Linked DNA regions of Oryza sativa Japonica Group. The protein of the gene in region 1 binds, or shares a complex with, the protein of each later gene. Links are inferred from orthologs where the notes say so. Each region holds a gene or a part of one and is shown in the gene's direction. Other genes may lie near its edges.

The links.
Region 2: mediator of RNA polymerase II transcription subunit 15a (region 1) and mediator of RNA polymerase II transcription subunit 8 share a complex: the UniProt entries of both Arabidopsis thaliana proteins name them as parts of the mediator complex. The link is inferred for Oryza sativa Japonica Group from reciprocal best matches to the Arabidopsis thaliana genes NRB4 and MED8.
Region 3: mediator of RNA polymerase II transcription subunit 15a (region 1) and mediator of RNA polymerase II transcription subunit 21 share a complex: the UniProt entries of both Arabidopsis thaliana proteins name them as parts of the mediator complex. The link is inferred for Oryza sativa Japonica Group from reciprocal best matches to the Arabidopsis thaliana genes NRB4 and MED21.
Region 4: mediator of RNA polymerase II transcription subunit 15a (region 1) and mediator of RNA polymerase II transcription subunit 28 share a complex: the UniProt entries of both Arabidopsis thaliana proteins name them as parts of the mediator complex. The link is inferred for Oryza sativa Japonica Group from reciprocal best matches to the Arabidopsis thaliana genes NRB4 and AT3G52860.

What each region holds. Positions count from the first base shown.
Region 1 is NC_089042.1:28,443,012-28,447,467, reverse strand, and holds the end of mediator of RNA polymerase II transcription subunit 15a, read left to right. Parts: intron 1-204; coding exon 205-1,650; intron 1,651-2,453; coding exon 2,454-2,795; intron 2,796-3,048; coding exon 3,049-3,243; intron 3,244-3,319; coding exon 3,320-3,408; intron 3,409-3,523; coding exon 3,524-3,725; 3' UTR 3,726-4,046; downstream 4,047-4,456. UniProt on the Arabidopsis thaliana protein: Component of the Mediator complex, a coactivator involved in the regulated transcription of nearly all RNA polymerase II-dependent genes.
Region 2 is NC_089037.1:18,122,964-18,128,216, forward strand, and holds the start of mediator of RNA polymerase II transcription subunit 8, read left to right. Parts: upstream 1-2,110; 5' UTR 2,111-2,282; coding exon 2,283-2,506; intron 2,507-2,629; coding exon 2,630-2,754; intron 2,755-3,531; coding exon 3,532-3,656; intron 3,657-3,761; coding exon 3,762-3,945; intron 3,946-4,080; coding exon 4,081-4,188; intron 4,189-4,401; coding exon 4,402-4,469; intron 4,470-4,789; coding exon 4,790-5,050; intron 5,051-5,253. UniProt on the Arabidopsis thaliana protein: Component of the Mediator complex, a coactivator involved in the regulated transcription of nearly all RNA polymerase II-dependent genes.
Region 3 is NC_089042.1:2,024,665-2,029,655, reverse strand, and holds mediator of RNA polymerase II transcription subunit 21, read left to right. Parts: upstream 1-1,886; 5' UTR 1,887-2,001; coding exon 2,002-2,325; intron 2,326-2,626; exon of another isoform or gene 2,627-2,709; intron 2,710-2,846; coding exon 2,847-2,918; intron 2,919-3,191; coding exon 3,192-3,243; intron 3,244-3,357; coding exon 3,358-3,434; 3' UTR 3,435-3,445; intron 3,446-3,914; 3' UTR 3,915-4,148; downstream 4,149-4,991. Other genes in the region: major pollen allergen Ole e 10, read right to left, coding at 4,474-4,499, 4,592-4,841. UniProt on the Arabidopsis thaliana protein: Component of the Mediator complex, a coactivator involved in the regulated transcription of nearly all RNA polymerase II-dependent genes.
Region 4 is NC_089039.1:3,231,971-3,236,860, reverse strand, and holds mediator of RNA polymerase II transcription subunit 28, read left to right. Parts: upstream 1-1,920; 5' UTR 1,921-1,992; coding exon 1,993-2,185; intron 2,186-2,583; coding exon 2,584-2,696; intron 2,697-3,555; coding exon 3,556-3,690; 3' UTR 3,691-4,047; downstream 4,048-4,890. Other genes in the region: U1 small nuclear ribonucleoprotein A, read right to left, coding at 4,433-4,723. UniProt on the Arabidopsis thaliana protein: Component of the Mediator complex, a coactivator involved in the regulated transcription of nearly all RNA polymerase II-dependent genes.

The sequences.
Region 1 (4,456 bases):
CTTGCAAGTTCAATCAACACCATGTTTTCTACTGGTTATTATAGTTTTTTCTTTAAGTTCCCTATGCATGTAATAACTATTCGAACAATCTTTGCCTGCACCATATCTGTTAGTTAAACAACAGGCCTTGGTTTACTGAATGGTTTCTTTTCTGTAGTATCCATCCCTTCATAGCTTTTGTGTTTTTCTTTCTTGTGATCACAGGTGAAGAACTTAAAGGACCAATATTTTCCTGAATTAAATGATTTGTACAATAAGATCTCTTTGAAGCTACAGCATGTTGACAACATGGTTCCACCTCAAAAGCCAACAGAACAGTATGAAAAGATGAAGAATTTCAAACTGATGTTGGAGCGTACAATGCATGTTCTGCAATTGAACAAGGGCAACATTCAGCCTGCCCTTAGGGACAAAATTCCTGCGTACGAGAGGCAAATTATCAGTATCCTAAATTCGCAAAAGAGGCCAAGGGTGCAAGGCCAGCAGACACAATTTCAACAATCTGCTGGGCAAGGTCCTACCTCTAACATTCCGCAACAACAACAACCTTCCCAAGGTTTGCAGCAGCATGATAACCATACTAATCAGATGCCTCAAGCAAGCATGCCAAGTATGAGCACCGGATTACAATCCTCAGGTGCAGCTGGTATCCAACATTTACCTGCATCCCCAGCAACAAACTTTGGTGTTCCAGCAACACAGCAAAATGTCACAAATGCACCACAGGCTACCTCTAATTTGGAGGTTACTCAAGGAAGCAATTTTAATTCTTTGCAGCATGGTTCAATGAGTGGTGCTTTGCAACAGGGAAGCACTGGGCCCATGCAGGGTACACTGAATGCACAACAGCAGGCCAGTAGTAGCATGTTATCTCACAACTCAGTAGGTACAATGCAGGCTAATGCCAATTCCATGCAAGCCAACGCAAATTCATTACAGCAGCTGAAGCAGCAACAGCAGGAGCATCATATGATGCAGAATCAGCAAATGAAGCGTCAAATGTTTCAGCAGTTCCAGCAAAAACAAATGCTTCAGCAGCAACTCCCAGCACAGCAACAATTACAGAAACAGCAGCAATCACAGATGCAGGTTCCACAGCATCATTCTGGAAATGATGCAAACGAGCTGAAGGTTAGACAAGGAGCTGCAATGAAACCTGGGATTTATCAACAGCACTTGGCTCAGCGCAATAACTTTTATAATCAGCAAATGAAACAGGGCAGTGCTTTCCCAATTTCGTCACCACAAAACCTCCAAGCATCATCCCCCCAAATTTCACACCATTCTCCTCAGGTTGATCAGCACAATCTCTTGCCGTCTCAAGTGAAGACCGGGACACCATTGCAGTCAGCTAACTCACCATATATGCCATCTCCATCGCCACCTGTTGCCCCGTCTCCTATACCAGTGGATTCAGAGAAACCACTCTCCAATTTATCATCATCACTTACTAATACTGGTCAGGCTACACATCAGCAAACAAACATGGCGCCTCAGTCACAATCAATCGCCGTTAACACTCCAGGGATCTCGGCCTCACCCTTGTTGGCAGAATTTACAAGTGTTGATGGAAATCAGGCTAACATGCCAACCCAAGTTCTAACCAAATCAAGTGCAGCAGAAAGGCCTTTAGACCGCTTACTTAAAGCGGTCAGTAACTTTGCCAACTTTTTATTTACTGTCTTTTCTTCGTTTCTGTAGTGCAAAATAAATTTATTATTTAATCAGTGCTATTCTGAGTATATTTTAAAGCGTAATTAACTATGGCATAAAGAACACAGTAGGCTCAGCTAAAATATTTAGTTCAGGAGTTATATATGCCATGCCTTTTGCTTGTAACCTCGTGCACCTACCTTGCTAAAGTTAATACAAACATTACCCTGTTTCAATCAACTAGTTTATCAAACGATAACTAAAATGATGCCCAAAGGTTGCAGCAGATCTCAGATAAGTATATCGTAAATTCTGAACTTGATAATTATGTCAAAAAGGGATACTATGCTAAAATCCCAGTCACATGCACATATGCGTGTGCTAAGGGATTATGCAAATAACACACATGTTAGATCTGTACACAAATATTTTGAAGTCAAGGGGATGCAAAGCATGGGAGTCATCATGCCTGGTCATTTCATGTTACTGCTTATTTAAAGTTGACTCTTTGAGTCTTGACATCTGAAGAACTTGATAGGTTTAGCATTGACCTATTTTATTTATTTCTCTTCACTATTGCTCTGTGGAATCTAGCTATGTTTTCCGGATAGCCTGTTTTGCTGCTGTGCTAAAAGAGAAGAAATCATTAATACCTTTTATTCCCCTCAAATTAGCTTCCTTAAACAAATTTTGATCATATAGAAGGCATATACCCTCCCTTTAGATTGAAATTGAGGATTTACCTTCCTGTCCCTTTTTTTTTCTTGCATGATTCATGTCCCTTGTGTTCTGTATGGCAGTTGCGGACAACACAACGCCAGTCCTTGAGTGCTGCAGTAAGCGACATAGGTTCTGTTGTCAGCATGATTGACAGGATTGCTGGGTCTGCGCCTGGTAATGGTTCTAGAGCTGCTGTTGGTGAAGATTTAGTTGCTATGACAAAGTGCCGATTGCAAGCCAGGAATTTCATAACACATGATGGGACCGGTACATCAAAGAAAATGAAGCGTGACACTAGTGCTATGCCTCTTAATGTGTCATCAGCTGGAAGTGTTAATGACAGTTTGAAGCAAACATTCAGCATAGGTACCCCTGAATTGCAGTCAACTGCAACCTCACGTGTAAAGTGGCAAAAAACCGAGGTATGCTCTTTATTATTTCATAGGGATCAATACATTATATGCCTCAGTGATCAGCTTCACAATCGTTTGTATAGATGAAACTTAGTGGCATGATGAATAAACTAAAATATCATGATTATCCAGCTGTTTTGTTTCCACAATGACTTCCATTACATATATGGGCCCAGAGAAGGGAAGTATAGTTAAATTGACGGGAGCTATTCTAAATTTTTGGCTACCTTTATTATTTATCTTGTCTCTGGTGCACCTGCAGATAAACCATGCTCTTATGGAGGAAATACATGAGATAAACCAACAGCTCATAGATACAGAGCTCCATGTTTGCGAGGATGATGCTGAGTCTTTTGGTGCTACATCAGAAGGGACAGAAGGGACAGTCATCAAATGCACATTTACTGCTGTGGCTGTTAGCCCCAGCTTGAAGTCCATGTTTGCATCAGCACAGATGGTAAGCTTCTCAAAGCATGATCTGTGGTATCGGCTTTTATTGTTCGCTGATGTTCCATGTTAAAAATGTGTGGCAGAGTCCAATTTTGCCATTGAGGGTGCTTGTCCCCGCTAGCTACCCTAAGTGCTCCCCGGTTCTCCTAGACAAGTTCCCAGATGAACAAAGGTCAGTATCCAATGTTTTATCAGATTCTACGCCAGGTACTACATATTAGGCTGTCCTGATTCTCTGTACATAAATAAACTAAGGATGTTGCATTGTGCTTGTGAATCTGCTATAGAAACTCGGATGACCTGTCGACCAAAGCGAGGTCGAAGTTCAGCATATTGCTTCGGGGTTTAGCTGAGCCCATGTCACTAAGAGAAATTGCGAGGACGTGGGACGCGTGTGCCCGCAAAGTAATTGCTGAGTATGCTCAACAGACTGGTGGAGGCAGTTTCAGTTCGAGCTATGGTTGTTGGGAAAATTGCGTGGGTGCTTAATCCCCATTCTTCTTCAGTCCTGCTGGCACCAATCTTCGTTTTGCATCGATATTGTGCGATCGCTTGCACGCCCTTAACTGGAACGGTTAATGCATCGCTCTATAAATATATGCACATAAATATATGTAACCATAATTAACATTTTAGCAAACATGCAATTGCTACTGGTGTGTACTTATTTATTATGTGTGGTTGTACTTTTGGAAATCCTCCCTGTTTACTAGCTGGATTTGGTAGCGGCCCCTCTTGTACAGAACAGTCTACATCTCCAGCCTGGTTTGATTCTAATATAAATATACTGTGAGATCGCTGCTCGTAATATATGTTGTGTATTGACAACAGTTGAAGGACGTGTGATTTTCTGAGATGTGCTGAGACCAGTTTCGTCGGACGTTTTCTCTTTTCTTGTGTGTTCTTTTCATATGCGGAATGGCGGTAATCAATGAGCATGTACAGAATATAAGAAGATCAAGCTAGGGAAGTATTTGACATTTTTAGCTTGGTTGCTAAGGGTGTGTTTAGTTCCCGCTAAAATTGAAAGTTTAATTGAAATTGGAACGATGTGACGGAAAAGTTGGAAGTTTTATGTGTGTAGGAAAGTTTTGGTTCGATGGAAAAGTTAGAAGTTTAAAGAAAAAGTTGGGAACTAAACCAGACCTAAGTATGATCGCGAGAGCAAGTGACATTCACTTGGTTCAGTTACGGAAAATTTTATCCAATTTGGGACTTGT
Region 2 (5,253 bases), on another chromosome or scaffold:
CTGCTGGAGACTGGCCTTACAAGGAGGCCAAACAGCTGGCTGTCCTTGGTGTTAGATGCGCTGAAATGGCAAGGGAGAAACGGCCCGATCTCTTGAACGATGTGTGGAGAGTCGTCAGGCCACTGATGAGGAAGCCCTCTTCTTGCCCGTACTTTCCACCGGCATCACCAGAAGTTTGTATCCCTGCTCCTTTCATCTGTCCGATCCTCATGGTAAATAAATAAATTTAAACTCGGATGATTTTTTCGCTTATCCGTTTTTTATAATGTTCTTGTCGAAAATGTTCAATGATGAAAAATTTTCTAGTGTGCATTTGTGACGACTCGTGTTGATATTTTCAGGAGATCATGAAAGATCCTCAAGTCGCATCTGATGGGTTCACCTATGAAGGAGAGGCCATAAGGAGGTGGTTTGATAGCGGGAATAATAGGTCTCCGATGACGAACTTGGTCCTTCCCGATCTCAAACTCATCCCTAATCGTGTCCTCCGTTCTTCCATCCATGAGTATCTTCGGCAGCAGAAACAACAGCAGCAGCAGGAGGAGGGTTCAGTCACCTAATTTCTGATGAAGGGGACAAATTTTCGTTTGAAAGTAGTTGCCTGACGGCTGTTGTGATTTCAGTTAAGTAGGAAACAGTGAAGAACAAATGGCAAGAGGACTACTAATACAGGGAAGAAGTTACTAGACAAAACTTCCTTTTAGATGGTAACCTTGCACTGTAAATTCAATTAACAAAATTTAAATTTATAGTGAATGCCACAACATCCCGTATTTATAATAGTCAAAGTGTAGAAATCCTGTGGTATTATGAGTATTTTCTGTACATGTAGGGAGAAGAATGAGAGGGAAAAGCGATTTGAGGATTTCTTTTTTGGGATTCTGGTGTCACAATATAGCTACAAGGAGATATATGCGACGTGTTGTGACGCGGAGGGAGCTGAGAGCGAAAGTGTTGCCTACGTGGCATGCCACGTTGGCGGTCAAACACAGCCAAAGGACGTTTGGACCAAGGTGATACATTAAGGCTGTGTTTAGTTCAGCGCAAAGTTTGGATTTTGGTTGAAATTGGAGATGATGTGACTGAAAAGTTGTGTGTGTATAACAAGTTGATGTGATGGAAAAGGACTGAAGTTTGGATCTAAACTTTGGATCTAAACACAGCCTAAACCAAGTTCACGGACCTAAACGTGTAATTTTCAAGTTCATGAACCTAAGTAACAGCACAACACAAGTTTAGAGACCGGCCATATATTTTACTTAAAAAAAGTAACAAATAGTACCATGATCTTAGCTCCTACTGTTAGCATTGTCCTCAATTTTATGGAAAGCAACAAAACTTGAGATTTAAGATATAAGGAGTTAAATGATATGATTTCAGTGTTCACAAGCAAGAATACTCTACTATAATTTATTGTTGTTTGTAGTACATACAACGCTATGTCTGGGTTGGATTAAAACCTTATAAGGGGTAGTATGAAATTGGCCTATGCAATAGTAGAAGGAGATAACATGGGACCAAAATATTGATGTTTGGGGTTTGCTCAAAACATGAGTTTATGTTGGAGCTAATTGACAAAAAATAGAACATGTCATAAAATGAACTCTAATCATGTAATGTTTGTCATAAATTTAGTACTTCCCATTACAACTTATACGACTTCACTACTTATAATAAAATTATATTAACTATATGTAACTACATTAAAAAACCATGCTATCATAGCATCAGAAGTGTTTCTTCCAAGAAAATTCATTTTTCCCATCCCCAGTTACATGAATATTGGAGCGAATCTAACGGTTAAAAAATCAAAAAATTTCCTCGTGAAATATATAAATTAATCTACTTCATTCGTCTCAATATAAAGCAACATAACATGAAATGGAACGTATCCTATTACTATGAAGTAATTCCGGATACTAAACAAGGCTTGTTGTCTATTTCGCTCGTATCCCATGGTTTACAGGACAACACAAATTGCTCGGTTTTCTTTGGTAAGTTTTTATTGAAAAAAAATATTCAAAGCGAACCTTTTCTTTTTTTCTTTAACAAACTTTGAGCCGATTTTACCGGTTTTCGTGAAAACGGGGAAAAACCACCTCCCCCTCCCGTCCTCATCTCGCGGTCTCCCTCTCTCCAACACTCAAATTCTCCGGCGCCGCCCTACTAACTCCGACGGCCCATCTCCGCCGCCTCCGCCGCCGGCGTGAAGCCATCTCCGCCTCCTGTGAAGCCCCCCAACTCCCGCGAGCTCCTCCACGCAGCAGATCCGGCGAGCTCGGATGGACGCGGCGGCGCTAGGGGCGGCCGCCGGGGCGCCGAACCCGGCGGCGCCCGTAGGAGGGGACCAGCAGCCACGGACGGAGCGGCTCAGCGCCGGGGTGCAGCAGCAGCTGAACCTGGAGGGGATGCGGGCGCGCGCCGTGGGCCTGTACAAGGCCATCTCCCGCATCCTCGAGGACTTCGACGCCATCGCCCGCGCCAACCCCAACGCCTCCCCCAAGTGGTAGTACTTGCCTCACCTCCATTCCCCCATCCCCCGATCGCCCGCTGGACTCTGTAGAGGATTCAGCTTCCCCTTTCTAGGGTTTATGCAATGCTGATTCGTGCCGTGGTGCGTGTATGGCAGGCAGGATGTGCTTGGGCAATTCTCGATGGTGAGCATGGAGCTCTTCAATATCGTGGAGGACATCAAGAAGGTGTCCAAGGTGTTTGTGGTCTACCCCCGAAACGTTAATGCCGAAAACGCTGCCAGTATGCTTGCTGTTCCACTTCTCTTCTCTTGTGTCACCAATCGATCGCTATATCAGTAATAACCACACTAGTTAGGTAGATCCACAAGCATAAAGTTTGTGGGAAGAAGAATACATGAACATAATGTAGAATGGAATTGCTCTGCGTAGTTCAAACCTTCACAAAATATTGCCTTGGGCAGCTGTTACACGCTACCCAGCTAAGCAGACCACTTTTGATTCCATGACCTTACCAAACAGAGTCTTCTCATGTTCAATGGTGCCCAAAGCCAGATGAGAAGACAGGTCACCTGTTATGAGAACCAAGAAATATACTATGTGATTTCTGTTATGAGCAACAAGGATATATGAGATATTATGGTTATGCTGCATTTGGTAATGAGTAGTTCATATATATACATGTCATTTCTTTTACGAGTTGTTTTACACATGAAGAACCAATTGTTGACCTTTCTCACTTCCTAGCAATAGTTATTCCTTTGGTTTAAATATTGAGATTAAACTTCAGGCTGATATGGCTAATTGGCTTTAGTTAAACGAATTTTATCCTAGGGTAAATTGGTAAAGATATTCCTAATGTAGCATGGGTAGCCATTTTTGTCAACACTTTCCTATTTCTGGGATAAGTGTGATAGGAATCTAAAAATGACCTAACAAGATGCTAATTGGTCACGGTTGCTGTATATGGTTGGGATGCATCGCAATTTGTGTTCCCATGTTCATCTGCTTCTAGTTTTACCACATCGTTAGTCCTGTTTGATATTCGTGAGTACTGCAGTACTGCCTGTAATGCTGTCGTCAAAGCTGTTACCTGAGATGGAAGCTGAAGAAGCTACAAAGAGGGACAACTTGTTGTCTGGAATAACGAATCTAACAGTTTCTGGACAAATTGAAAAGTTAAAGGTGATTATTTCTGTCTGGAAAATGCAAACCTATGTAGCTTATTATACCTGCGTGATCTTTTCATTATCTGTTAATTTTAATGGGACTTGCTGCTATTCCTTTCAGACTAGGATAGATATGATTGGAAGTGCATGTGAAACAGCTGAGAAAGTAATTGCTGAAAGTCGCAAGAATTATGGTCTAGGAGCCCGTCAGGGGGCAAATCTTGGTCCTACATTGGACAAGGCACAGGCTGCAAAGATACAGGAGCAGGAAGGCCTACTTAGAGCAGCGGTAAATTATGGTGAAGGTGATAAGCATTAATGGTGTATTAATATAGCTATCAGTTTAAAAATTACTTTGAATTTAATTTTAGCATAAGCTTCTCCTTTTATGTAACAATTTCATTGTTTATAGTCCATGATGATTTAGTCTGATTATCCAGGATTGCGTGTACCGGGAGACCAAAGGCAGATGTATTCATCTCTTCCTAGCCATTTAGTGGACGTACTTCCTTTTGGAGATGGGGCACATAATTTTGGTGATAATTCTGGTCTGTTTCTGTGACATACCTACAATTCTCCATGGTTCACTCCTTGTTTTGAGCATTGGAACTATAGCATCAATGAGTTGTTCATCTGCTCTAGATGTTTTTTTATATAAAAATAATCAATAACTTGCTGCTACCCTTAGTGTTGCCATTTGTGCAGTCTGTATGTCACACAATGCTTCAACAAAAGCATATAACTAGAGTCTATACTTGCAGGTGTGTACCCCAAAAATACCTCAACATTTGTACCTAATGTTGTCAACGCCCAGGGAAATCCAATGCAGGTTTGTCTAGTGCCAGTAATAACAGCTTTGACCATTACGAAATTAATAGAATATGTCCATATTATTGCTAGTTGGGCTGAAAGCAAAAAAAGTTACAAAAGGCAGATGTTTTGTTTCCCGTGTATCAATTTGCCATATAATTTGTAATGGTATATTGGTATTCCTTTCTATGATCAACTGTATTAAGTGTTGGTTAGAATGCTTTCCCTTGAACTATTATTAAGACAATTGCATTTCATAAGAGCAATCACCAACCTGACCTCATGCAGGCCTTTGATGTTTCTATCTTGATGTTCAAATTTGGGCCTTCATTCTAATAGCAGGTGTCTGGAGGACAGTTACTTGGCAGACCTGCTCCATCACCTGGAGCTACAGGAACGCCTAATTTTGAAAATGTATCTACTCCTCCAATGCCATATGCAAACTCCCCTAGGTCAGGGACCAATATGATGAACACCCCTTCACCCCAGCAGCATTTGACGGCACAACAACATAGGCAAAAACTGATGCAAACATCTCAGCAACAGCAGCTACATGCTCAACAGCAACTAAGACCATCGGCTGCTGGGATGCTAGCACAGGTAAGGTAATTTTTATTTCGGAGGCTTTTTTGTTGTCTGGGTTACGGTTTATCATCTCAGTTGTCACAGCACCCAAAGGTTATGTAGCTATTAAAAGCACATTTCTTTTCATTTTCTATGCTGCTGTCTTAAAATTATTCCATTTCATTTACTTCAAAGCATTGTTCCTTCCTTTTCTAGTGCTTGATTCTCCATACTTTTCC
Region 3 (4,991 bases), about 26 Mb from region 1:
CTCACCCTAAATTCATGAAAAACCAATGACAAAAATTACAGCAAAACTTCCATGATTTGCATTGTACAGGCAAATGATACAAAATTATCTAAAGGTATGGTACATGTTGACTTACCCCTTAACACATTTCCATTATAAAAATATACTACTGCAATATATGGGTGTGCCTCAACCCTTTAGGGTGTGTTTGGATAATGGGAAATGAGGGGTGAGATTGGGATTGGGAAATGAATGAAGAGTTAGGATTAAATGTATGAGGGAGAATGAATGGTTAAGATTTAAAGAGGGGTGAGAAATTATTTCCCTTAGACATTTGCCAAACACTGCCTTAGCATCCAAGCTGCTTCATCAATACCTTATCTACTGAACAGGCAGAAATCAGATTCAGTAAATCTCCTAACTCATCAGTTAATAGATGCAACAATGGGGGTAAATCTCTAAATTGATTCGTATGTGGGTGATTCAGAAAGAGAGAGAGAGAGAGAGAGAGAGAGAGATTCAGGAGAGGGTCGACGGCGTCGAGGAAGCCCGCGTGGTCGGCGGCGCGGCCGTGCTCGGAGGGGATGACGTTGGGGATGGTTCGGAGGCGGCGGCGGCGGAGGAGGAGGAGAGGAGGCCGAGCCGAACTGGCGTCCCGCCGCAGTCGCCGGCTTGTGGTCGATCTGCAGGCTGTCAATGCTGGGGTAACTTGCTGCTGTCCCGAAGCAAAAAACAACAATTTTCCAGTGTTGAAATCAATGTCATCCAACAATCCAAGACATGTAAAACGTTACCACTGGATGAATGATGCAAGAACAATGGTAAATGTCAGATTCAATTCAGGGTTCTCGTTCTTGTGGAGTCACTCACATTCAGATGATGCGGCTGCGACGAGGGCACACCACCCAGCTTCTGCTGCTGATACTTGCTCCCGTTCGCCTCCTGCAGGAGATCACCATTGAAGAGGCTGCGACAACCCTAGCTCCTCCTCCTCCTCAGACCATTTCCTCCATGATAGGCTCCCTCCGTGGCCGCGGCCGCCGCGTCCGCCCTCGCGCTCCTCCTCCTCCTCCTGTCCCGCTCGCCGGTAGCACGAGGAGCCGCGTCCACGTCATCACCTACCGCTCCCCCGCCGCCTCTGCGGCCGCGGCCGCGCTCCCGTGGATCGACTGGGCGCGCACGGCGTCGATGAAGGCGGCCCCGGGCTGTTGTCCTTCGCCTCCGATCCGGGCAGCGTGGGTCGGTCGCTGGCGCTGCTCGTGGAGTTCGCTCATGGTCGGCGGCGGCGAGGCCCGGCATGGTCGGGTGAGGCAAGGTGGGAAGTCACGCGGGCGGCGGGTGAGGCTCATGGTCGGCGGCGGCGGCGAGGCCCGGCATGGTCGGGTGAGGCGAGGTGGGAAGTCACATTGTCGGCGGCGGCGAGGCCTGGCATGGTCGGGTGAGGCGAGGTGGGAAGTCACGCGGGCGGCAGGTGAGGCGGGCGGCGTGGCTGGCGTGCGTTCTTTTTTTCGTTCTTTTTGGCGTGCAGTTTCTTTTTTCGGAGCAAGACGCGGTGTTAATCCGGTGCTAATTGTAACCGCAGGATTAATCCGGCGCTAATTGCAATCATGGTGTTAATTACACTAAACAACTCGTGCTTTTTATATTAGTCTAGATTAGAGTCCAAGTCCGATTCAATTAGTGTTAACTAATCGGGTGAGTTAATTGTTAGTAATAGTTTGGTTTAATCCTGGGCCGTCCGATCCATTTGTGTGTGGATCAGATCTGGACGCGTGGTGGTGATGTGATGCAATTTTCCGCGTGGGGTCCCTTGGTTCCTTCGTAATCAAGCTAGCCATGGGCCCACGTGCCAGTCAGAGAGTGGCTTGCGCACTGTCGATGTGCTGGGCCCACCAGTTTTCTTTGATGGGCCTAGATGTAATTGGGCCTTGGTGGATAGAGAGGAGGAGGAGAGAGAAGGAGAGGGAGAAGAGGAGGAGGAGGAGGTCGCCGGCGGCGAGGAGGGGGACGAGATCGCCGGAGATGGACATCATCTCGCAGCTGCAGGAGCAGCTGAACGAGATGGCGATGGTGGCGGTGAACACCTTCGGGACGCTGCAGCGGGACGCGCCGCCGGTCCGCCTCTCCAACAACTACCCGGACCCGCTCAACCCCGCCGCCGCCGCAGCAGCAAACCCTAACCCCGACGACCCCGCCCAGCCGCAGCCTGGAGCGGCGGCGGCGGCGGCGGCGGGAGCTCCGGCTGCGCAGGCACAGGCTCCGCCGGCGCAGGCCCAGCCGCCCGCGCTCGACCTCGCCGAGCATCCCAAGGCCATGAGCCACGCGCTCGTCCTCGCCGCCAAGAAGGTACGCGTCTTCCGTCGCTTATCTTCTCTGCTTGCCACCTGCTCGATGAAATGCCTGAGTGCCTGCTGGTTCTTGGGGTCTGACGCTTTAGGGCTTGGACTGTAATTTTTGGTGTGACCAGCCTTAGCATTTTTGTGTGATTGCAACCACGGTCAGGGTGCCTGGTTCTTTGAAAATTCTTCTACTTACAGAATCATATCTTCTATAGTGAGATTGTTCATGTAGTGTGGTAGAGTACTTTAGTTGCATTGTGCTGTTTTTTAGCCCTCTCGAGATAATTTTGAATGGATCTGCAAAATAGGAGCTTCACTCATATTATTCCTCGCAAAGAAGGGTTGACGATGATGTGGATCACACCAATCTTTGTACTGTTCCTCGCAAAATGTAGGTGGGATGATGGTATGCAGCACACCAACCTCTGTCTCCAGAGGGCAAACTTTGCATCTGAGAGTACACTTGAAATGTGCTACTAGCTACTGTTTCCAATACCGTTCTCTTTTTTTTTTGGTTTTTTTATGCAGTTTGATGCTCTTGTTTCTGCGTTGCCACTATCATCTGAAGAGGATCAGCTGAAAAGAATTAAAGAGCTACAGGTATGTCTCAGTTTTGCCCTCTGAGCAGTACATTGTGAAAGGGTGACATTAAGCTAGTGTCTTGTGAAGATGGTATCTTTGTGCATGTTTCCTTCTGTTTTTTTTTTCCTACGCCTTGTGGATGGAGTTTCATACTAAGGTTGTCCTCCTTAGTCGCTTGCTTTCTTCTGAATGAAGGTTTAGCAGACGCTCGGCAGCATGTCCTGCCATAGTATCAGTATTCATGATACTTGTGTCCTGCAGCTAAAATGCTTATGAATTTGAAATGCGCAGGCAGAGAATGAAGTTGTAGGCACAGAGCTTCAGAAACAACTGGAAGCTGCTGGTATGCTTTGCTATTACATTCTTGGAATATTTTGCCTTCATTATATAATTCCTCACCATGTTACAACTGATTATTTACAAGTCCAGTGTTTTACATGTCTTGTTGCTTTTGTAGAGCTGGAGCTGAAGCAAGTTGAGGCTCTTTTTAATGAAGCTACAGATCATTGTATAAACTTGAAGAAGCCAGAGTAATAGTTATCAATGTAAGTTTGGATTTCTCCCTTCACTATCTCAATAAATCTTTAGCTTTTTTTGTGCTTGCAAAAAATTATGCTTGCGCTTATGATATGGGATTATTTTGTGACCAGCTGTATAATCCGCTTGACTTCCCAAACTTGGTACACTGTATTATCAGGAAGTCAGGATACTGATAACAATTTTGTTCTTATGGTGCTTTTTGCAGTACAATATTCTACATGCACCATTTACTAGATGGCTGTTGGCATCATGTCCATGATCAATTATTGGTTTATGTAGTTTATGTACGATGATGGCCTGAACAAAACATAATTATGGTGGATGTTGACCTGTTATATTAATCCCTCGCAAGATGCTTTCATAAAACCCTCTGGGGGCTTGTCTTTCTGTTGATCAGAAAATTCCAACACAGTGTTGTTACGTATGATCGTAGTATCACTAAAATGACTTATGTTTGCTTTCCTGTCATATCAGGTAACGGAACCCATTTTGGAGTCATGAACAGATGAAGGTGGAGATGTGAATGCCAGCTGCCGATGCTACATGTAGACTCAGTTTTAGTATCAAGTTAGCTGATGCTCAACAATATTCCAGTAGTACTTGTTGGATTAGGAATTAAACCTAGCACTGTAATTTACAGTAACTTGAATAGTTTCAAGCTGGTTCGTTTAATCTGAAATAATTTGAGCATAACTTCATGTTTATTTATTATAGTTGGGCCACTGTTCGTTCACAGCAGCACAGGACCATATAGTGCTATGCAAATACAATTAAGACATGCCTAGGATTCATACTCTTTGAACTTTGAAGAACTGCACTGAAGATATGGAACAATATTATCTCGGTATAAAGCATTCCTCTCTAAAGATTACCCAAACATTGAGGCTAAACATGACTTGAATTCTAGCAACTCTGACACTGAAATATAGAACACCATATTTTCTAGGGGCACTTGGACAAACAAAACATCCCTTGAAAACTTTATTTGTCAAGCTCCAGAGATTGGCTGGCTAACTTGGAGCAAACTCTCAACTCAGGCATACTTGCAATTGCCAGAACCTGCAAAGGTTGGCAAGAAAGCCATGTAAATTTGCAGGATTCAGGTGAAAGAAACAGCAAGTGAAGCAAGCTTTGAAGAGGCTAATACTTACTGGGATCAGTGATGGTGATGAGGCCAGTGCCGTTGAAGAAGCAATTCCATGAGTTCCTCCCCCTGGCCTGGTAGTAAGCGTTCATGGTGACCGACGCCCGCGTCGGCAGGCTGCCATCGTCGTCGGGGAAGGAGCATCCGCCGGTGCCCTGGATGGCGGCGCAGTCGCTCTCCGAGCAGGCGAACTCCAGGTTAGCCCTCAAAGCATCCTCGCTGGCTGCTGGATTTGCGACACACCATGTCTTGGATGACTGCAGGTTTTGCTCAGTTTCAGGCAAGAACAGTTGATGAGCATGGCAAGATCATATGATGCTGCCATTCTGGGTTTGTTTGCATTGCTGCAGAATTAAGGAGAACTGAAATTTCTTGATGAGAACTGAGAATTGTTTGTTTGTTTGTTT
Region 4 (4,890 bases), on another chromosome or scaffold:
ATGTTCTTGGTCTCCCACACACAGCCATCTGATTTAAAATCAACGGTAGAGATGGTGCAAAGGTAAAAATTGCTATTCAGAGAGAGTTTGAGGCAAAAGATAGGATCTCTATGTTCTAGATAAATCTTCCTCCATCCTGAAACGGATATAGCAGATTGATGTGGGCTAGATATAGCAGAACTACAGATTGGTGTGATTTATTTCTAACTAGATCTTTCTCCCAAGATTCTCAACAAATATTGGTAACCCCAATGTTACATGGGCTGAAAGAAAAGATCCTAAAACAAAATGCAATTTTTAAGTAATTGTTAAAAATAATGGGTCTTCGAACACCTAGCTAAATGTTTGTGTTTTGCTATAGATAAAAAAATGTATTAATATGTTAACCATCTTTTTGCTATAGGGAATATTCATCTTAGGCCATGTTCATTTCTTATGCAATCTGAGGATAAAATTTTAGATACTCGTGGCACACTTTTCAAACAGCTAAACAGTGTGTTTCGTACGAAAACTTTCTATATGAAAGTTGTTCTAAAATATCAGATTAATTCATTTTTCAAATTTGTAATAATTAAAATTTAATTAATCACATGTTATTATCACCTCGTTTTGCGTGAAACACTTAATCTTCATCTTCAGGAGATTCAAACACTACCTAATCATTTTTTTATTTGACTATCAATTTAGATTTGATCTTTTAAATATTAAGAAATTTAAGGGGCAACTTACAAAATTTACAATGAGGGTAGGTATGATGACATATTCACTATATGACATATCTCCGTTTTTTTTTTTGAAGAAGTATAGATTAGACCAATTGACTAGCCGACTGGGTACATCGGTCGTACTCCCCAAAATGGCACCAACCTAACCTAATGCTATATTAGATTCTGCTATAACTTATAATCAACTAAGGAGTATATTACATCAATAAAAGAAATATCTACCGATAACATTAAGTTAATTGTGACTATCACTGATCGATTAATTAGATGTATTTATGACAACCGCATGCATACGTGTCGAGCAGCAAAGAAGTGTGTTCACTTTTATGCTACAGTAAAAAAATCAGAAAGTCACGAAGTCAAGCAATATATGTTGCCATATTTGATGTTTAACACAAGATTAAATACACAAACATAAAGATAAATGGGACTTAAACAATATGCATAGGAAAAAAAATATTAGCATTTCATGTTTCTTTTTTCTAAAATACAACGGAAATTCACTGACTCCATATGTTCATATTGTAATCTAAGTTTATCTTTCAGTTAAACTTCTCTAACACCGGTTGGCTTTATAAAAAAAAATACAAAATCTGTAACACCAAATTAGTTTAATTAGATTCATCATGAAATATGTCTTTATTGCATTTATTTATTATTTTATATATTGGTGCATTTTATTCAAACTCAGACAATTAACTTAGAAAAAAATATTTATAGACCTAGAATTTTTCCCAAATAGAATTCCAGATTTATTTTCCAAATAGAAATATCATAAATATCATTATATATATATATATATATATGTATATATATATATATATGTATATATATCTATATATCTAATAAATCAAACTAAGTCTAAATAACTCTAAAACATTTATACATCCTAACAAAGGTATAAATATTTACAGGGTACTTTTAAGCTATGTTCTTCCCCCCATTTTCCCAACCCACCTATCTTGTTTTCCACGTGTACGCTTTTCAAACTGCTAAACGGTGTGATTTATAAAAAAACTTTATATATAGAAGTTGTTTAAAAAAATCATATTAATCTATTTTTTAAAATAAAATTAGATAATACTTAATTAATCATGCAATAAAATAAACTTCGTTTTGCGTGGCAGGAGGAGGGGTTCCCAAGCCCCTCCTCTGAACACAGCCTTAGTAGGTGCGCCAGGCGCACCCATTTTCTAGTAGTTTTTGGAAGAAGGGTTTCATTGCAATTTTGCGATCCCCACCTCTCTCTCTCTCGTCTCTCGCTCTCATGGCCGAGCCGCCGTCGCAGTCGCCGGCGCAGACGCCGCCGCAGGCGGCGCAGCAGCAGCAGCAGGGGCCCGGGGAGAGCGCGCGCGACGACATGATGGCCTGCGTGGCGGCGCTGGAGGCGGCGCTGCTGCCCTGCCTCCCCGCGCGCGAGCTCCAGGCCGTCGACCGCTCCCTCCAATCCTCCCACCAGAGTACGTCGGACTCACTGAGACTGACCCCGCCGCTCCCCCTCTCTCCTCCCTCTGCAGCCTCCCTTCCCCGTCGTTCTTGCGCTTCCCCCGGCCAAGATTTGGCGCGGCTGGTTTGGTTCGACTCGCCCGCCCGCCAGGTGTTCGCTGTTTTGCCTACGAGGTGGGGATTAGGAAGCCCCTCGTGCTCTAGCAAAATGTGGCGAAGTTATTTTTTCTTTTTACTTGCGCTGTTGGTACGCGGGCGTCTCGCGGGTGCTGAGATGAGATTGAGAGGGTGGCATTTGAGCGTTCTACATCTGTGTGCTCAACTGTCGATGTAGAAATTGGATTCTTTTGCTTTGTTGCTGGTTAGCAAAATAGGGATTCTAAGGTGTTGTGGTTGTTATAATGTGGAACAGTTGATGTTGAGAGGCACGCGAGGGATTTCATGGAGGCTGCGAAGAAGCTCCAGTCTTACTTCATCAGCCTGCAGCGCGAGGACCGACCGTCGACAGAAGAAATGCTTCGAAAGGTACATTGCATTGCTTTCGGAACAACTTTGCTTCGAAAGGTACTCCTTGACTTCGAAATGATTAGCAAATTAGAACTTTGTGATTAGCAAATTAGCCTGTAGGTAGAACTAGGACCTTGTTTGGGGGAGCTTAAGATTTTGAGAAGCAATTGGTTGGTAGTCAGTTTATGAGAATATGAAGAAGCTGGAAAGTTAGGTTTCTTGTTTCTAGTTTATTTTCTGTATTCTTTAACTACATCTTCTCAGAATCTAGATGAAAAGCTGAACTGTTTGAGTGAGCTTTTAATTTTAGGAAAAGCTGCAGCTGCCAAAAGCTCCCTCAAACATGCCCTAGGTTGGGTAAGCACAGAGTAACGATTTGACACCAGAGTACACAGACATGGGAGGCTGAGAGCTTGGGGATGGCGAGGGAAAAGGTCTAAAAAATATTCAATTTTCAAAGATAAGGGCTTGAGTTTGTCTCTTTTACAGTCTTGAATTGACTGGGCCAGCTCTAAATCAGTCCCGTATTGTTAGCACTAATTCTCTGAGATGTCTAATTGAAGTTTTTTTTCTGTGTTAGTACTCGTTGTGCTCAACATTTTAGAGTGCTTGAGATCCAATGGTTTTTAATATTTGGCCCATCAATAAGTTTAAAGCTATCTAGATTGGTTGTATAAAATCCATTTGACCCTCTCTTTGAAATCAATTATATTGATGTTATATTGCAACCGTTGTAAAAAAAAAATTGTGCATCGATTTTTCTCTATAAGCTTCATGGGAGAAATCAAGAGAAATCCTATATGGCGTGGTCCCCAAGCTGTAATAATCAAATAATAATGTGTCATCATGTTTTAACATGTCCAGTTTCGGTTTGCAGGATATTGCTATAATGGAGGAAGAGCTGAAGACCAAGTCCGAGCTCATCGACAAACATAAGAAGCTCATCGAAGGGTGGCAGAAAGAGCTGAAGGACCAGCTGGGAAAGCATGTTACTGAACTCGAAAGAGTGTGACACCACTGTCTTCCATGAAATGTCCCAGGCTCCTTCCGATGATCAACCTGAGTAGCCCAGTGCTGGGCTATGCCTTGGAGATTTTGAGTACGCCAGCCAGGAAAAAAAAAACACCACAACAATGTTTTAGGATCTGACCAGTTTGCCGAAGACGAACAAATTGCGCTGTATTAATGTTCGTTGCTATGTTCGGTTTATCATAATATTATTGTTCGTAGTTTCTCGTGTGCTCTCCATCTCATCGTGTTAGGCATGCCTAACATGTTAAACTTTTAGATTTTTCGGAGCAACATCTTTTTCCCGATTATAGGAGTGTATGATAACATGTGTGTTCAATGGAATTGTCTAATTGCCTCACTTGTCATTTTAGATGTTTCTTTCAACATATTAATGATTTAATGGTAATTGAATCCCACAGTTGCTGTCAGGTGACCATGGTGACACAACTACACAAGTATGACTATGAGATGGTAAATATTTTAACGAGGCTAACAGCAATAGCATAAATGTAAATCGTCTCAAGCTGCCATATTTTACACAAGGGAACACGAGTGGAACTAACTAGGAGAACTCACGACTGCAAAGATGGTTCAAATTTCATCTCATTCCTGAAACACACACGGGCAGCTGAGCAGTAGTACATTAACATGGTTGTCATGGTGTAGTCTACCTAACAATGAAAATCTATGGATTATGCGAAAACTTGGGACTACAACATTCATCGAGCAAGTCAATAGTACATTTACTTCTTCGCATACGAGATAAGCATCTGGTTATCTTTCGTAATTTTGAACCCCTGAAGATGGTTCATGGCAGCGGTAGCCTGCCCCTCGTCGCCGTACTCCACGAAAGCAATCCCAGGCTTTGCTTCAACCATTCTGACTTCCTTGAACCCTGGGTACTGACAGAAGAGCATCTGAAGCATCATAGGGGTCGTCTCATGTGGGAGGTTTTGGACGAAGAGGATGTTATTCGGTACAATTATCTCCGGCATCATGACCTTCTGTGCGCCAGCAAAAGGTAGCTGAGAGAGCTGCACAAAACAGTGAGCCAATGAATCGAAGGAATCCAAAAGTAGTGGGCCCAAGAAAAATATAAGGCAGAAATAGGGGCGTTTAAATGTGCAACATGCTTACTGTACAAACAGTGGTCTTTATGCTTGTGATTATTGTTTGCCGTGGTCATTTGTATTAGTTTTCT